Linked DNA regions of Drosophila melanogaster. The gene in region 2 interacts genetically with the main gene of each other region. Each region holds a gene or a part of one and is shown on either strand. Other genes may lie near its edges.

Evidence for each region.
Region 1: of vn (region 2) and csw, changing one suppresses a phenotype caused by changing the other (phenotypic suppression), as found in Drosophila melanogaster (2 studies listed by BioGRID).
Region 3: of vn (region 2) and mys, changing one suppresses a phenotype caused by changing the other (phenotypic suppression), as found in Drosophila melanogaster (one study listed by BioGRID).
Region 4: of vn (region 2) and ap, changing one suppresses a phenotype caused by changing the other (phenotypic suppression), as found in Drosophila melanogaster (one study listed by BioGRID).

What each region holds. Positions count from the first base shown.
Region 1 is NC_004354.4:2,100,459-2,105,303, reverse strand, and holds the start of csw (corkscrew), read right to left. Parts: upstream 3,016-4,845; 5' UTR 2,158-3,015; coding exon 1,529-2,157; intron 1-1,528. UniProt on the Drosophila melanogaster protein: Required in all receptor tyrosine kinase signaling pathways. Functions downstream of the receptor tyrosine kinase torso, acting in concert with D-Raf via tailless.
Region 2 is NT_037436.4:5,842,656-5,847,357, reverse strand, and holds the start of vn (vein), read left to right. Parts: upstream 1-1,693; 5' UTR 1,694-3,799; coding exon 3,800-4,702. UniProt on the Drosophila melanogaster protein: Ligand for the EGF receptor. Seems to play a role in the global proliferation of wing disc cells and the larval patterning. Shows a strong synergistic genetic interaction with spi, suggesting a molecular interdependence.
Region 3 is NC_004354.4:8,059,721-8,064,697, reverse strand, and holds the start of mys (myospheroid), read right to left. Parts: upstream 3,054-4,977; 5' UTR 2,973-3,053; exon of another isoform or gene 2,618-2,972; intron 859-2,617; 5' UTR 741-858; coding exon 239-740; intron 166-238; coding exon 1-165. UniProt on the Drosophila melanogaster protein: Integrin alpha-PS1/beta-PS is a receptor for laminin. Integrin alpha-PS2/beta-PS is a receptor for Tig, wb and Ten-m. Contributes to endodermal integrity and adhesion between the midgut epithelium and the surrounding visceral muscle.
Region 4 is NT_033778.4:5,723,820-5,728,379, forward strand, and holds the start of ap (apterous), read right to left. Parts: upstream 3,014-4,560; 5' UTR 2,041-3,013; coding exon 2,002-2,040; intron 1-2,001. UniProt on the Drosophila melanogaster protein: Required for the normal development of the wing and halter imaginal disks.

The DNA.
Region 1 (4,845 bases), on a different chromosome or scaffold from region 2:
GGCCGACGTTATGAATTTGCACAAATTAAACGCTTTTATTTGATCAGTAGCCACAGCTCACGGTTGTGCAACGGACAAATAAACGGAAATATGCAAAACAGAAGGCAGCGCTCGAAATCCATTACGGGAAATGTAATTTCATAAATCGTTAATCAGCCTTATGGCGAGAAGAAAAACCATCGGAAGGTTAATAGTTCTACAAGGCGGAGGGCAGAGGACGGCGGTGCCCCATTGTTGACCTAGTGAGTGTGACAAGTGAAATCCGGAAATCACGCAGCTTAAGCTGTCAAAGCTATTGGCACATCATCTTCAGATCATTTGGCATGATGTGCGTTTTAGGATAACGACGAAAAGATCGCCCTAAAGCAGGATACCTATAAAAGCTGAGCATAAATTAGAAAAACAAAGATCAAGTTAACGAGCCAATCAACACGTTCAGCGATTATGAATCCGTTGCGATAAAAATCAAAATAAATAAATAAGCAACAACCGAAACCGACTGCACTACCAATCCGAGCTCAACTAAAAGTCAAAGATAATTTATGGGACATAATAATAGTCCAGCAGATACATATGCGATTGTTTTCTGGGTGTACTGTGCGAATCGAGATCGCCAAGATGGGGCCAGCCCACACAAACAATCGGACGGCACATGGCACAGCCGGGCAGATAAACACCAAGATCAGACACGGAGTGGGATGGAATCTTTGGGGAATGTGGACGACGGACAGCGCAACAGCGGGACATGGGTAAACATTCCGGGCGCGAGTGAAGAGATAATTCCGATCTGGCAGTGGGCCAAGATACGATGTCTGCAGTGGGCAATTCGCCGAACTCTCCCGGTTCTACAAGTGCGTAATTTAGCCAGTGCCTAACCAATAACTCAATCTTCAGCTCTAAATGAAAGAACCAATATCGAAACACAACTTGACAACGGGCCAATTGTGTGGGGGGGGTTGATATGTTGATATGTGACCATATTTGAGTGGCGATCTGAGCTGGGCCCCCTGCCATTTGCCATTCCACTCCCTTCACTTCACTTCGGCATTTGACAGTCGGAAATTCATTCATATTAGAACGTCAATTTACGATTGCTTGTTTTCGAGTCGAATGCTTTGCGTAAATATTTACTCATTTTGCGTGGCAATTCTGAACACATGACAGTATGTGCTGCGCTGATTTTTTTTTTTTTTTGCTTTGTTGCGGCGTCAACTGCCTGTGATTGCCTGCCTTATTAGGGTTAATGTTGATGGGCAGCAGATTGTCTCCAGATTTCCCGCGAATCATCTGCTACTCCGCGACATGTGACTGACAGGCGGGGCGACATACTACGATGCGATGGTAGCTCAAAATACCATTTCACCTGCTACGGGGTATCGTTTAGTTGGCAGCCTGACAACTTCATTACTCGCACTCCAATAACAATTAGTGCCTAATTTCGCACGCGCCCCAAATTAGCAGAACGCTGCTCTTTTTCTAACACTCTGGACTGGACTGCTGTCGTTTTTTTTGGGCGACCTGAACTTACGTGTAACCATGGAGCTGGACGCGCATGGTGGCCAAGAGGGACAGTGTGCTGTTGGAGCAGCTGGCGCCGCCGAAGGCGGCTGGGAACTGGGGCGGTGTGGCTGTCCAGGAGGTGGGCGTGGCCGGGTAGGAAGCCTGCGGGCTGGGTGTAAGACGGTGCAGAGATTCCGTCGATGTGGAGGCGGAGGCAGCGGCGGAGGGTTGGGCGGAGAGAGGACGACGTCTGCGCTGCAGTCGGTTGTCTCGATTACGTTGCGCGTCAGCGCCCTTGGCCACGCCCTTTATGATCTGGGCCAGCTCGTCGTGGGTCATACAGTTCTTGCAGGCCGGCTCCTGGGCCTCGGGTGTCTCCGTTGGTGGGGTGACCTTTGCTTTCCGACCCTTGCTGGCCTTGAACTTGCCGCTCCTTTCGCGCTCCTCCGAGCGTCTTCCCTTGCTTCCGTAGTGCGCCTGTATGGCTCTTTCGTACTCAAAGTTTCGCTGATTGTTGTAGGCATTGTTGTTGTTTAGCGTATTGTTATTGTTATTGTTGATATTGTTGTTGTTGTAGACTTGTTTCTCTTGCAGCTTGTGATTGACCACATTGCCCAGCGAGCTGGACAACTTTTCCAGACATTTGTTGAACAGCATTTTCTTCACACTCGTTTTCTCGCACACACCAAAACAAAAAGAAGCTTAGATAGTAGTATTCCACTGCGGAAAAATGCGTCTCGGCTGGGGTGTTTTTTTATTATTTTTTTTTTATTTTGTTATTGTTTTTGTTTTATGTAACAACTTGCCCACACACACGAACACACACTGAAAGCACAAAAACTAGAATTCTTGGTTTTTGTTTTTTGCCGCTGTTTGTTGTGCTTCTCTGTTTGCTTTTTATTGATCTTAGTCAGCTCGATTAGGGGAAATGTCTACAGTTTGTCAAATAGAGTGCTGTTTACCCCGCATTCGTTTATTATTGCACAATCTTCTTGAGAGCCAGCAACAGCTTCTTTTCGTACGACTTGACATTGATGGCCTTGGCCACGGTGGTGCTGCTGCTGTTGATGGTGCTGGTGGGTTTGACCTCTGCTGGGGATGCGGCCTGCTCGTCGAGTCGCGATTGTGCCGCCATCAAATGCTCCAGGACAAATGTGGCTGAAGGCATAATTTTCGCGCTTTGCCTTCGAATAACAAAAACACTCGATGGAACTTGTACTGGCGCCCAGTAGAAATGAAACGAACTGCTTGCCGCTCGACGACGAACGGCGACTGCTTGCGAGCTGAGCTGCTAACCCGTTGGATCACAACTCGAGAATGAAGCGCCTGCTGCCGAGTCTGAAGCTTTTTGCCTCGGATTCGAAATCGCAATCGGAATCGAAATCGGATTCTTGACGTTGTCTCAGCGCGGCTCCTCTCTTTGCGATTCGATTCTTCCGCTCTCTCTTAGTGGCTATATCTCTCGGACGGGAGCTGTGGCCTGGTGGTGTTCTAAGCGCTGGGGTATGAATGAATCTGAATCTTGACTGGCTGCGGACGGCGCTTTTTGTTTTTAAATCCAGCCGGCGCTCTGGTTAGCCCTTCCTGTCGATCTCGTGGGTGGGTGTTTTTATTTATGGGCTTTATTTACTGTCAGCGAGCCAGAAGTCACAAACAAATACAAAAAAAAACACAGTAAATAAAACGGAGCGAAAGACGTAACTTTGAAATTGATTGGCAGTGGGTGTGTGCACAGCTTTCCCCTGGGCTCCTGTTTCAGTATCATCAAACTGCTTGGGCCCCTCAGCGGGCGCCACTTAATTGTAGCCATCCTGTGGACGCCACTTACGGTTTATTCAGAAAGCGAAAGCACTTTGAATTGCAATCAACATTGTAAAAAATTACACTTTTACTTTTCATTTACTTTCAATTAAGTGCTAGAGCCAGGCTAATACCTATAAATATGTATAGCGGGCTCCACTCTATGTTTATTTCGTAATGACTGTACTCCTGGATGAGTCATGGAGTTCATCGCAATCAGAATCCGAATCATACACATTTCGAAAAGCAGGCACATAAGATTAATTCCAATCCGAAAATGGTCATTTCGTGATATGAGTGTGTTGTTGGCTTGTAAGAAAGCAAATACAAAAAGCGCTTTTAGCGCCGTCCGTTGCCTGCCACCGGAAATGAAACTGAAGCCGCACAGCAACTACTGTGGCGGCCATCTAGGCAAGGAACTGGGTTTGCTGGGGGGCAGGTGGGTTGGTGGGCAGGTGGGCAGGTTGGTAGTTGGGTAAGTGGGAGCTAGAAGCGAGCAGTGCCAAAGCTCTCTTACAGCGCAGGCGCAGACGTCAGAGGTGCGAACGTGCGCAGAATATCTTTTTTTTTTTTTTGGCCAGCAAAACAAAATCGTTCGACGTGCGACAGCCTGCGAACTGCGATCTAGCAACACTTTACTTCCAGCCTCGTATTCATGCCTCCCAACGATGACGAACTATTTTTTTTTTTTCCAACATTTCGTCATTGTTTTTTCGCTGGAAACCAACTAGAACTTGTTACCCAAACCACATTCAAAATCCACTCAATGGAAATTGTCTCCGAAGTGTTCGATCAAAATTGAAAATGCTCAGCTCAAACCAGTCGGGGAAACCCCATGTAGCTATGCATGCATGCATCAATGCAAACAGGATGTTCCAGGCCAGGTGGACCAGATCCGTGGAAACCACATGGGGCTTCTGGGCGCAGTTAGGTGTCGGTTAAGAATATTAGTCATTGCAATGGCAAATGCAAGACGAGAAGTGCATTAAAAGTGAGTAGAGATGATTTGAGCTACCTGATTGCTATCGATACAGAATTAAGAGCGAGGCCAACATTGGCCATTCGCAAGTTTAAGTTCTTAGAAATGATCGGGTAACGCAATTTAGAAGTGGCATTGACCAATAGCCTACCCAACGTGTTTACATTACGTATGGAATTACTAAAAGTTCCGGCGAAGTAGTGAGTGCCGTGAGTGCCGCCCTACCCAGAAATAAACTTGATCGGTACCAGTTGCCAGAGCGACAGCCCAGTCCCAGTATCCCCAGTGCTCCATTCCTGAGCTCCGCGACCTTGGCTATCCCGATTTCGTTGCTGGAGACCCAGACCGCATTTGGGCACAGCCAAAACCATTCGTAGGTGCGATGGGGAGTGGGCCAGAAATAAACATAATTTATTGTTCAGTCGGAGGCGGGGGATGGTTAGTATGCTAGGCACACAGCTACATATGTGCCGACCACTGATTGTTCGCCACTCCGAATTGGGATTGAGATTGAGATTTGGTCTCGGGACCCAGGGATGGCAGCCAGCGGAGCCGAAGCCAAAGCC
Region 2 (4,702 bases):
GTACCTGTTTTGCTCATTCAGAAACTGGCAATGACGTAGACCAAGTTGGCCCAGCTCCGTCACAAGTGGCCGACTTTGAACCCTTCTTTGCTTCTGGCTTTTCTTACAATTGTCGCACTTGTCACCACACCACTGCCGCCCCACCTAAGCTCCCCTTTTATGCTTTTTCTCTTTTATTTTTTTTTTCTTCTGTCAGCTTCTTTTATTGTTATGCGCAGTGCGTAGAACAAGTGGAAGCTTTGTTTGACAATAACAACAACAGCGAGTGAAACATCAGCAGCTGGGGCAAGTAAGAAACAAAAAAAAAAAAAAAAACGTTAAGTTTACACGACTTCCAAGCGCTGGACGGAATCACCTGCCGCATTTTGTTTTTTCTGTAGTCGCTGTTGTGGGCTTGACATTTGACAATAAAGCAAATAATCATGGGAAAAAAGCTGAGCCCCCAGAAGAACGACAACTCGCCGCCGCAGTCATCATAAGAAAATATCAAAAACGGGAGGAAATCCGGAACCGTAGTCAAAACAAACGAAAGCGTTGAGTTAAGAGCTGTTGGATGAAAGCAAAACTAAATTAAGATTGACGAGTTATGTAAGGGTCTCATATTGTGATCGATCGATTAGCAATAAATAGAAAAAATTATGTCTCTTGCTCACAATTTTGTTAACAAATTGCTCATTGCTTTTAGGCAAATTGTTAAAAAGTTACAGCTCTGTAATGATAACTAAGATTAGTTATGAATCCAAACTTTCTTGAACTAGATAAGATCGCCGACAGTACATTTAACTTATTCAAATGCAGCATAAGCGCACATCATTCATTCAATTACTTGGAATGACTCATTGAGCTAGGACTTGAACTTTTTGCGTATGAGCAATAATTTTTAAAGACCCTCAGACTGGAACTCATTTATAGCAGCCTATCAGAAGCTCGACGATTATGAGTAACTTATTGGAAATCGGAGCAAAAGCCAATGACAACTGTCCTCTTATCTATTTTTATCTATTGGATTGATAATATTGTCGTTAGACACCTATTTAATCGTCAACGGGTTCGATTTCCCTCCTAGTTCGGTTTTCATTTTAACGAGTAACGACGATATTTTTTTAATACGTTGTTTTTCTAGCATATATCGTATCGACTTATTACGGTAAGAAATTATCCTTGCAGCAGAGGAATAGAGGGATTTTTCGAGAGAGCGAGAGAGTAAATCGGATTTACAAAATATATTTTAATACCCTAAATTTGAAAAAAAAAGGACATTATAGACTTAAAGAATTTTAGAGCAATCTCTAAAGAAATTAGCATATTGTGAAGCATACTTTTAGAGACGAATAAGTAAAGGTCTCGTGCCCTCCTTGATGTTCCATATTAAATATCCCAATTGTTAACCACAAATCGCCTTTAAGTAATTGATATAAAGTAATGAATTGGATCACCCGAAATTGTTGAGAGAAAACTGCAGGGTTGAGAAAATGCTGGCGTTGCTGTGAGAAGAAAACGTTGGAGAAAACACTCAACGTTTGAGCGAAATGAGCGTGCCGAAGATATTCGAACACGGCCGAACGCAGTCGAACAAATTCCGACCAGTGAGATACGTTTGAGTCGTGAGATACGTTTGAGTTGTATCCGTGAGATACGTTGTGAATGCTACAACTCTGCTCTGCATCGGTGAGATACGTTTGAGTCGTTTTCGCGGCGTCAAATCGAGCAGACCTGTGCCGCTCCGTAGAGCGAGTTCGTCCAAATAAAAAAAGAATTATACGAAATTCCGCCTGTGTTAGGAGCAGAGAAAAGAATAATTTTAAACCAACATACACAATCAGTTAGTTTCCACCGACAGTCCGCAGAAACCATTCGACGGCAACGGAACGGGCGCGCGATTGTCGGCAATCCGTAAGATAGCCAAATATTATTATTGTTCAGATACTCACTGAGGGCGTTGATAAAAGATCAGCCAGACAACTGCAGATCCGAGTGGAGTGTTTTGAAATCAGTGAAATTCTGTGTGAAAAATCGTTGATTTATTAATATTCAAGAATAAAAGTTCCCAGCGAATTTCATCAGCTGGAGTAACCGAAGTGACCCACCAAGCAAATCGAACAACACAAATCGATCGAACGTGTAAAAGGACTTTCGGTTTCATTAAGCGTGTGCAATTGCTGATTTTCCCCGGCAAAGCGGACTTTTTGCGGAATGAATGAAATAAAAAAAAAACAGCAGTGGCAACTATAATAATAAAAACAACAACAGTGCAACAACAGCCGGGGCATCTTCATAGATTTTGGCTCTCCTGAAGCAACAACTTCTGCCTGCACTTGGTATATGTACTTATCACATAGACATATATATACGCACAGATATATAAAACAAAAACGATCGCTTCTCGTGCCAGCGCGTGTGATTGTGTGCGTTCCCATGTTGCATATATATATGCACAAAAAATATATATATTTATCTAGAGCCGACTGTTGCGACGACTTTTCTATATAATCGGCTAGTGAGCACGCAGACATCGAAAAGGTGCACAAATACATCAGCAGATGCGGGTATATATGTATTGCACATATATCTAGCCAAAGCCAAAGTAGAAGATATATATGCGTATAAGCTGAACGCGGCGCACTCTGCTCTGTTTTTTCTTTTATAATTACTTTTGTCTAAAATTAGAAGACGTGTGTGTTGTGTGTGCCCCGTCCGTGTATCCGTATCCGTGAGATACGCGAGAGTGTCCGCGTCTGCTATATCGCACATCATCATCGCCGTACACCATCCGCCGTCCAATATCCACCATCATCATCATCATCATCGCCATCCCCATCATCATCGTCGTCGTCGTCATCAGAGATCAGAGATCTGCAGCGGTGTGTGTGCCAGAAAAGACGACTCGTGAATCAGACTACGGCTACGACTACGGGTGCGACTACGGCTATATAGGCGAGAGATCGCGTATACGGCCAGACAAACATTATCGTATATCTGGCGCCGAGGATTACAATTACAAGAGCAGCAAACGCAACAGCAGCAGCAGGAGCGGCAGCCGAAGTTAAAGCCGAATACGAGTACGAATACGAGTACGAATATCCGAGCCCCACAAACGAATACGAATACAAATACGAATCCGAACCCGAATCGAGGCGATACGAAACGATCGCGCGCGTGAAAAGCCTCGTGAAGAAAAGCGCTACGAAAAAAGTGGGGGAAAAATCAAACGCCACGCGACCTTAGGCCCGTCCAATTTTGGGGGGGGGCGTGCAGCGGGGCGTGGCCGTGCGTCGACTCCTAGCGATCGCTCAAGTGAAACGCGGCGAAATTCTGTTCAGATAACAAAAATGAGTCACCAAAATAAGCAGCAACAGCAACAGCAGCAGCAGCAACATCAAAAGCAACAGCAACAATCGAGTGCGGCAAAGTGTTCATAAATTAATGCTAGGCATACAGTGTGTTAGACCAGTCCGAAATACACTATCCCCCTCTCTCTCGCTCTCGAACAGTCCGTCTCTCTCTTGCCCCTGCTGTCGCTCAAAATGCTACGAAACTATCGAAAGTATTTGCAGGATAAACGGAAATACGACAAGCCACAACGACGAGGCAGCGAATTTTACATTTGTCACGTTTAGGCAAATTGCAAGGACAAAGGACACACCAACCCCCCAGCAGCAGCAGCAGCAGCAGCAGCAGCAGCAGCAGCAGCATCACGCAGCAATACGCAGCAGCAGCAGCAAAGCGCAGCAGCAACACTCGCTATCGAGATTTTGTACATAAAGTCGGGGCAATAGCAGCAACAACTTTGGAGGACGCCATGTATGCGCAACATTTGCGCAAATGGAGTCTAAAAACAAAAAAGCAACTAATGCCATTGATATTGCTAATTATCAGCTACATGTTGCTACTAAACACATGTGTGTTGTCGTCGTCGGCGACGACGCAGCAGCAACAACAACAGCAGCAGCAGCAGCAGCATCTTCCAAGATTATGGGAAGGCAGTGCCGAAGAAAGCAGCTACTATATACCACTGAGTTCGGATAATGGCAGCGGGAGCAGTGAAAGCTCCGCCGAGAGCGGTAGCAGCAGCAGTAGAAGCAGCAGCAACAACATCGACAACAATATCTTAAGTAGGCTGCTCAGCCTCAACAGCAATAGTCTTAGTAGCCGTAGCAATGTTAAGTTAAAGCCAGCAACAGTATTCGACGCCGGCAGCAGTACACCCGCTCAGCAGGAGCAACATGTGGCTGCCGTGCCAGAGCAGCAGCAGCAGCAACAGCAGCAGCAGCAGTCAATGCAAAAAGTTCCAAATACGTTAATCAATAGTCAAATATATAATTTATTATACAATGGCATGCCCAGCGAGGCGGCGAGCAGCAAAATGCGTCGCCACATTCAACCATCACAGCTGCCACATCAGCCAGAGAGCAGAGCGCAATTACCGAGCAACTACAGCAGTCGGCCGGCGGTGCGGAGCTATCTAATCGAGTCCTACGAGATGCCAGAGAGCATGTTAGAGGATCGCAGTCCGGAGCAGGCGGCGCGAAGTCGTCGGGATGGCAGCAACACCAACGGCAGCCGGCAGCAACAGCGCACCGGCCACCGGCAACAGTTGCAGCAGGACAAGCGCGATCACCGCCGCCAGCGGCAGGATCAGCAGAAGGAGCAGCGCCAGCAGCAGCAGCAGCGTCAGCACAAGAGCGGCAACAAGCACCAGCAG
Region 3 (4,977 bases), on a different chromosome or scaffold from region 2:
GGAAATTGTTGGTGATGCGTTTCATGGTCTCGGACAACTTGTCGCCCAGCGTAGACAATTTGGCCTTGTCGTCCTCCATAGATTTGGAGAGATCCATCAAGTAGTAGAGATCCACCGGATATCCCTCCGCCTGGGAATAGCTAATCTTGATGTTGTGTTTCTCATCTAAGGTGTATTGATAAGCAAGTAAGGGATTAGTTTGTAGGTCACATGGATGATGCAATCGTTTGCTACTCACTGACGCGCAATGCGAGTCGCATGGACTGCGGTTGGATTTGGACAATTTCGCCGGCAGAGTACTCTTCGTATCCGCTGGCGGAACTGGATCCCGAGGAGCTCTGCGAGTAGAAGCTCGACGAGCTCGAACTCGACGAGTAGGAGCTTGAGCTGCTGCCGGACATGGCGGAGCCGCCGCCACCAGCCGCCAGTTCAGCTTTGTATTGATTCGTTAGTTTGTTGTTCACTAGAATCTGCTCAACTGTTATCGGACTGTAGGCGAACTCCTCCGGACACAGTGAGCTGGTGTTTTGGTAGCACCGCGACTGGCCCTTAAAGTCCGGCTGCATGCACCAGGCGCAACCCTCTGTCTGGATGCAGGTGTGACACTTTTCCTTCGATGCACATGTGCTCACTGCCGTCAGTTTGGCCGCCTTCTGGGCATCCGTTTGTCCAGCGATGGCGGCCAGTATTGCGATCATGAGGAGGGCCAGCTGGCACCTCCGGTTTCTCTCGAGGATCATGGCTTTGGCGGTTAGCGGTTGGTGCAGGTTGTGGATGATTCGGGATGCAGGAGGATCGGATATCCTTGGATGTGCCAGGTGCTGTGTGTGCTCTGTCTCTGTCGCTTCTGTGCGCCGGCTGCAATGGTAAGTGAATTAAAATTGTTGGATTTAGCACTAGATGTTAAGTAAGGGGCAGAAATTATTATAAAAGCCATTCCTGGTTCACTTATATTTCTAATGCTACATATTTTATATTATTTTTTTTTATATGCCTTAATCTTTCATTTATTTTTAAGACACAATTTGATTTCTTCGATTTCGCTGCAATTTTTACGAACGCCGGTGTACGTAAAAGTCCAGCTGCTGACTGCACTGCTTGTCGAGCACTGCTTTCTCCGCGTGCCCTGCTTTTTTCTTTATTGCAACAACAAACAACAGCAAATGGCCGCACATCTGTCCCCTTTTTTTGTTGTTTCTTTCGCTCTACCTTAATGTTTAATTTTATTTTCTCATCAACTTGGCCAGATGACTCATCTCACAAACACACACACACACCAAGCGATTGATGTACGAACTTGTGTGTGGGTGTGCGTGCCTGCGTGCTTTTGTTGTTTTTTTTTGTTGGCCTCCGAAAAGAAAAGGAAAAAAGCGGAAGGAAGAGAGCTTTCGATAAACGTCAAATGCAATGCGAATTACTCATTCGAGCACGTTCCGTTAGCACGCTCTCTCGCTCTCTTGGCTCCTGGCAAAATGTAAACAAAGGCCGAACGAACAATGAGTGGTCATTGAGTCAGCTTCGCTGGGTTTCCTTTCCGCCTAAAGCCACATGAATCACTCACTCCAAGCCACTCAAGACTCAAATCAAAATTCCATATGCACGGAACGGAAAAAAAAGGGCTGCAGATTACGTATACGTATGGGTGTTGTGTTGGTCGGCTATTTTTAAACGCCCACGCACACACAACACAACGAACACTAACACACCACAGAGCTTGATTTGCAGCAGATCGTGTGCCGAAAGGAAAACAAACTAAAAACGACTAAGCCCATGTTTATATACCCTTGGATTGAATAATTTCATTCGATTATCATTTATACACCCAGTCACAGCATATCAAAGTTATGAGTTGTGCACTTAGTAGTAGTTTTAATCAGTTTTTTAGCTAGCAAATTCGTAATACTATAAACCGCCTGAGTAAACAGCATCTGCAGCGCATAGTTTCAACCACGGATGGACGCCCACAGCCATTGGGCCAAAAACGAGGCACATCTGGGCCGCCCACATGTGGGCGTACTGGTTAAACCAGCGGCGCGCAGAGGATTTCATTTTTTTTATTGTTTTTTTTTTGATAGCTTTGGTAAAATTGGTTTTTACTTCCAGTTACAGTTGGTTTCAAATTCGGTTGGCTGTTTATAAAGTGGACAATTACCCCGAAAATCTGGGCAATCCCCTGACAAACACAAATTCCTGCTGCTGCCACTGAGCTCTTGATTTTTGTACGCTCTTTTCGCTTCTGCCTACGTACTCTACTCGATTTTTAGTTCGAGTGCAAGATCTCCGGGGTGGGGAAGTTGCACTGAAAAGGGAGGGGGCGTAATCAGCAATTGGCGTCGCGAAGTCGCCGATATGCACACTCAAAGAAATAAATAAATATGATGAATAATAATAACAAAAAAAATGAAACGAGTGAATGTATCGTGAGGATTCATTATTTTTTTTAGCTCAACAAACAACCCACACACAGATACGGCGTTCGGTGTGTGCGTGCCTGTGTGTCGTCACTGCGAATGAAATCATCGAAAAAAGAGGAGATAAAAGTAGCGCTTCGATATTGCTTCCTCTTTTTTTGGGCAAATGCAGCCCGGAATCCATTGATTTCTTACGTAATACCCACTATTTCACCCGCTATCTGATTAATCGCAGCACTTTGGCTTAACTTTCGCTGCGTTTTCGCTGATAATTCGCGATATTAATTTCCATCAGGGCGGCACTTTTCTTATTTTGATTTGCCTTCTCGCACACTTGTGGAGTTCCCACTCACACGCACACACTCGCACACTAAACACTAGCACTGTGCACACACGCAGTTATTACAATTACTTGCCACCGTTATTCGCTAGATCAGCGAATTTAACTCTTATCGGGTGACACGAAAAACCAAAAAAAAAAATACAATTCGACTGCAGAAGCAGCAGCTGAAGGCCGCCAATTGGTGTCGGGAATTGGATTTGGATTAAATTAATATTTACTGCTTTGCTTTGTCCGCGGATCTGGTCTGTTGTTCAGTGTTACCAGATGGTGTCAGCAGGGGGTGGAACAACAGTCAATGTTCTTTCGATATTTGCCATCCGATGTTCGCCAGTGTTGTTAAATAGCTCTGGTCACACCGAGCCTAGGAACAGTGTTGCACAGTTTTGGAGGACTGTGTCTCCGCTAAAAGAGACATTTGTGCTCGCAAACACAATCCGATAAGTAATCGAGAAACACGTAAAGGAACTCTGGTTATCGGAGTCACTTATTGCACGATAGTTTCAGACAAAAACGCCTGCTTATATCGATGACAGCCTTGTTTTTGTTGCGCTTACGTTACGAAATTAATGTAAAGTAGCCGACGAATCTACGTTCTACCAGTATAAATGGATTAAAACTAACAACAGCATAAGTGTAAACTGCTGGTGAATTTCCCAAATAGCCATATGAAAAAGCTAAAAGTACGTGCAAATGGTTGAGAAAAGGAGAGAACGAAAGCCACTATGAGTTTGCGAGAGTATGTGTGACTACTTTGCTCTCTGGCTCTCTCTATCACACACACTCGCACAGAACGCTCTTCTCACATGCTCTCTCTCGGCCGGTAGCTCTAGCTGTCCCGCTCTCGATTTATCAATAAAAGCAGTGCGTTAGAGCGGCATAGCCGCATGTACCAAGCGCGTGCGCCTCGTGCCCGTCGGCTGTCCATGTGTGCGTGTGTATTCGCATTTTCAGTAATTTCGAAAAAAAATTTTGTATATTTGATGGCGACTCAGAAGAAACTCGCGCGTTTGTCGAAAAATCGTAGCGCGTACGTATATATCGGTGTGTAGAAATTACTAAAAATTGTGGTAAAAAATGGCAAAAATTATATAAATTTGTGTTCGAAGTGGAGTGCTAATTGCGGGGGATCAGATGCGAATGGAAAAATGTTGAAATTTATAAGATTTTAGCGCCAAAAAATGCATTTGAAAAATGTGAGACTTCAATGGACATGACAAATTTTTTTTTTCATTTTTTTCGGTGGTGGAACAAAAGCGAACGAAAGAGGAGCAAGAAGCAGAAACGTTCGTCAGTGTGTGTGCGTGTGTGTGTCGAGTGAGGGGGCATGAGCATGAACGTGTGTAGTCACCAAGTGAATAATATTAACAAATAAAAGAAGAAAAAACGAAAAAAGAGGAATACACACGCAGAAGCGCGCGAAAAGTTTCACTCGAAATGAGAAAAAACAAAAGCAAAATATACTAGCGCTAGTTGATTTTCGCTAGCAAAAAGAAACCGACGTGCACATTGAAAATCTATAATTTTGTCGATTTTGTTATTGTATTTTTTGATTTTGCGGTTTTGCGGCGCCGTCGGTAACGTTAGCATACCGTTACGTGGCCTACGTAGCGTGGTGACGTACAGAAGACGCTTACGTTGTGGGTTACGTTACATTTGTCGCTGGGGATTTTACTCTTTCTCCCTCTCTTTACGCCACACTCATTCTCTGGCGCGCGCAAATCCAAAAATCTCGAGAAAAAAAATAGTGCCCGATGTGACCAATATTTTTTGTTTTTATTTTTACAGTTGCAACTTTTTAACAATCGTGTACAATCTGTATGTTGTATATGTTCAATTCAAAATTCAGCAACAATAGCAACAACGCAATTCAGCAACAACAACAAACAAAACCGACAAGCTAAACTTGGCTAAGACAAAATCAACATCCAGCGGCAGCGCGGCCATAAACAAAGCCAAAATCAAAAGTCATTCGGATATATACATATATTCGCCCATAATAGCGAATAAACAGTAACAGAACGAGTGGATTTAACGAAACAACAAAAAGAAAAGAAGAACGATAAAATCCAAAGGAAAAGTAAGTTTAAAAAGTGCAGCGCACGTGGCGTTTACCCCCGCCTCCTCCACCACTAGCCGCCCACCTTCGCACAGTGGAAAACGACACAAGAGCGCGCCTCTTCGGTTTGCCCCAAGGACACTTTGCATTTTCTGCTAGTTTTCGAG
Region 4 (4,560 bases), on a different chromosome or scaffold from region 2:
TTGAATTAAAATTGAGTTTTGTAACAAACTTAACAATAGGACTTATTGATGTTTCCGATATTTTGATTACGGGCAAATGACAGCTACAAAAAAATGTATTTGAATTCGTTGTCTATTTCTCGCTATTGGATATCGGTTACTCAGCTAGGCAGACTGCGAAAAATAAATTTCAATTTTTTTGCATATCGAAAGAAATTGGAAAAAAAATTAAGACGAATGATAAGTTAGAAAGGGTGTGTTAAAAATTTTCTTGGTATTACAATACATACATAAAACGGAAATATACCAAAACATTTTCATCAAGATGGGCGTGGCCGCTTTGGGCTGTTTGTGCATGTCAAAGAGTTTTTTGGCAAATCGGTAAAAATTTAAAGACTTATAAAACATGAAAAATATCAAAACATATTTCAAAAGCGTATTTCTTGGCGGTTTAAATTTAAATTTTTGTTCATTTTATTCACCGATATCTAACGATATTCCAGCAAAATGATGAAATGTTGCGTTTTCATTCCCACTAGCTGAGTAACGGGTATCTGATAGTTGGGGAACTCGACTTTTATATATAAAAAGAAATGTACAAAAATAAAAATTTGAAAAAAAAAACTCTAAAATTACTTTTATAAAATTTTTAATAGTCCGAATTTAATCAATTTCGTAACTTGATCGATGTGCCGAATTTATCAGGTAAACACATCATCAACACATTTTCGAATACTTTAGGAAGAAAGAATTTTGAGATATGGGAGTTTGTTTTAGTGGACTTGGAAATACTTTAAAACGGCAGTACAATATGAATGTTCAAGACTAGGTTTCAGCTTTTACAATTCCTAAAACGTTTAAAAGGACGGACGGTTGGACGAATAAAAGAACGGACAGGCGGACATGGCCAGATCAACTCGGCTATTGACCTTAATCAAGGATATCCCTTATAAGGGTCGGTAACCCTTCCATCTGTCTGTTACATACTTTTCAACGAATGTTTCATACCATTTTACTCTTCCAATTTATTTACGATTTTCCTATTCTTATACAATACAATCTTATACAATTCTTGTACAATATATAGATGTGGTATATATAGACTAGAATTCGAATACTCGTACATCTCGATTTACAGTAATCGATGACATTTGGAAAACATACAAAAGATGGGAATTAAAACAAACACACAGATTTCAAACACCAAAGTTGTAAAGTAACAAAAAATTGTTTGCATAAAGTATAAGGAATGCGTTATGTTTCAAAATAGGAATAGCAATTAAAAATGACAAAATCAAAAATAGGTAAAAGATGTTCATGTAACTCATCAAGGCAATTCGTTCTTTTCAAAAAAATGGTACAAGAATATCTCTGTGTGGTAGAAAATGCCTTATTCGCGTTAAAAATTAGTATTTGAAGGTCAATTGACTACTATTAAAATATATCAAATTGGTATATATTGGCACACGGTGATTATTCTCTAAAACTGAATACGTTCGCGTCGAATATCAGATATATACAAAAATTTCGTAAAAACGTACATATTTGTTTTACCTGTATTTTGATTTCTACATATCTATTAATTTTTTTGCACGACTATGCCGCCCAATTTGATTGTATATTGATTAGTACGACTATCATCAAAAATCTGCCTTCTTAAACATTAAATGATTCTAACCTAAGTTAGATGAATAAAAATTAAGGCAGGGAATCACATTGAAATTTTGTAACCGCGTTCTACAGCAATGTTTCAACGAGCGAACTAGCCACTGATTGAACACTTCTGGGAACTGTTTTTAATCTGAAATGCCCAAGCGGCTTTCTTATCGATATTGAGTGGGGCTGTCTGTTGATAGGCAAGCTTTCAGTCTGGTATTGATAACTCCGAGTAACCCAGGCTCGGATCAATATTAATCACAAAGGGCAGAGTTTGGGTGAGCTGGGACGGACTGGTGGATGACTTATTTTTTAGTCTTATCGCTGGTAACTTTGGATTTTATGTGCTACGGCGGCAGAACTTACCCAATGCATCACAGGGCGCTCCTCGGTGCAGACGCCCATGTGCGTCTTTTGGAATGACACGAGGTCTATTTCCAAGGATGATGTCCGTCGGTCGTGTTATGTTTGTCGTTGTGTAGGCTGTGCGTTGTGTCTTGCGAGCCTTATGCCTCCTTAAAAGGGCTGCGGTGCTACGTTGGTCTTGGGTAATCCTCTACACCCCGGCTAGATGTGCTATTGGACACTTGACACTGGCCACGATTAGATGCCCGGCTAGGCTCGCCGGTAATAAGTGTGCGCACAACTTGATCTATTACTTTGCGGACATGCATCACTTCGGCGTTGTCTTAGAGATTGACACCATTGGCTTGCCTTTTCTTATTGCACAAACTACGATTTGAATGCCGCTTTTTTTAAACTTTCTCCTTAGCACCAAGGTAATATAAGGAACATAGGGTCACACACTCACTAAAACACTTGACTCGGCGGCAGGTAGGATATTTGTATTGATTAGAAACCGCCCCTGTATCTCGAGCGCAAAGGCGTTTTCGGACCGCTGACGACCACCGGTTAGCGTAAGAAATCTAAAGTTAATTTATGACATTAATTTACGAGACAGCGCGAGAATGGCACATCAGATCCAAATTGAGTGGTAAAGGTCGGCCTTTGTCGGGCTCTTCCTACGACACTCGACGATGCCTGTTACTGATAAGGCATTAGAGACAGAGGCGCGTATGCGTATGCGGCTGTGCTCCCTTGTGTTGTTGTTTATGACCGGGCAGGCGATTACCGATCCAACTTCAGTTTTGTATCCGTTTCGCCAACTCCCTGTTTCTGTGTCGATTCTCCTTCGATCCAGTTCTGGCAAACCGAAACTACAGCCGAGCTCAAGTCAAAACAAAAATCGAATACGCGCACCGCTTCCAAAAACAAAAACCGACTCAAATTCGAAACTCGACTACCGACTTTGGTCTGCAGCTGATCTACTCAAAATCGTGAGGACAACCAGCCGTCGCAGCTGAAAAACTGGGAATGTTTGGACGCTGTGCGAGCGCAGCGCCAGAAGCCAAAAAACTCCACCGCCCCGTTCGCCGTGTGTTTGCGTGCGTGATGTGCGCGCGCCAGTGTGAGTGAGTGCGATGTCGCGCATGAGCTGCCATCCTGCTTGCACACACGCTCATTCCGCAGCTCTCACGTAGTGGCAAATGGCGGCGCTCTCAGCTGATAGCGTCAGTAGCTCGTTCCCGCTCTAGAGCACAGCCAGTAGACGAAGAGGGCGTGGTGTTCTATCCGCGCTCTCGCACCAGCCGAAATCGCCTCCCCACGCACCGCCCACCGGACAGTTGGCCGGCTGCAAAACGTGAATAAGGCAGCGGTAGCAGCAGTCAGGAGGAGTATAAGCTGTGCGCCAGACGCCACATGAATGAGGATGGACTCCAGACTCGAACTGGAAGCTGCGAGCGGAGTCCGTGACAGGAATTCCAACTCGCAGAGGACGAACAGTGGTCTGAGGACGCACAGGGGAACGAACTCTCACACCAGCGGGTCTTCGGTTGACTCTGCTGATTCTTTAGTTGTGTAATGAAAAGATGCATGGTGTCTATATATGCCGTCTTCATGCTGAAAACATCATGCAGAAAAGTTGTAACTAACTTACTGAGAGCTATTTATTGTGTTTTCGTATGCTGACGCTATAAATGTTGAAAGAATATAGGTTCGTTTGACAGGTGTATTTATAATTCTCAACCAGTTCAAACGCTACCAGCACTACGCCCAAGTTGTCGCCTGCTTCCAATAAGAACTGTCATCATAGAACCTTGCTGTCACTTCTCCTTTAATTCCGCACAAGCTTGAAACAAAGTGCACACAAATCTCCAAATGGCTTAGGGAGCAGATTTAACGTTAAATACTTTTATTGCAGTTACAGCTATAAATATTCAGCTTTTGTGGTATGCATTCACTATGATTCCACAAATGTTTGACATTTTGAGTGTTTTGCCGGTTGTAACTTACATATATTTGGCAAGTTTTGGTTGAGGTTACGGTTACATTTTAATAATGTAAAATATTTGCCATTAACTGCAATGCATTTTCAGAATTTCAACCAGCTTACGTTGATTCAATCGTTGAAAAAGAAATTTTTTTAAGTGTAATTGTTAATATACTTCTGCTGTTACATACATAAGTTCGCCGCTGCTTTTTGAACTCTTCGCAGAAAGTTTTAAAACATGTATTACGTATTTGAAATGTTTGTGCGACTTAGCCTTCGCATTTAACTTTATTTTTGGGCAAAATGTTTCACCTCGTTGTTGCTATTGTTGCTTGTTGACTTAAGAGGGCTTTCAAAGAACCCCGGTTAAGTCGGAACTGATTGGGTGGATTGGTTGTGGACGTCGGCACAGATTTTGGGTCCTTATTCCTTACGAATATACACAGCTGAATTCTCATGATTTTAATATTGACAAGAGTAAATGCGAATACATGCAGTATTTTCAGACCATTATAATTGGTACAGTGCCTCATAATAATTTGTTTATAGATTCTTTTAAATTTTACATCTTTTTTTATTGTAAACAGGCCCAT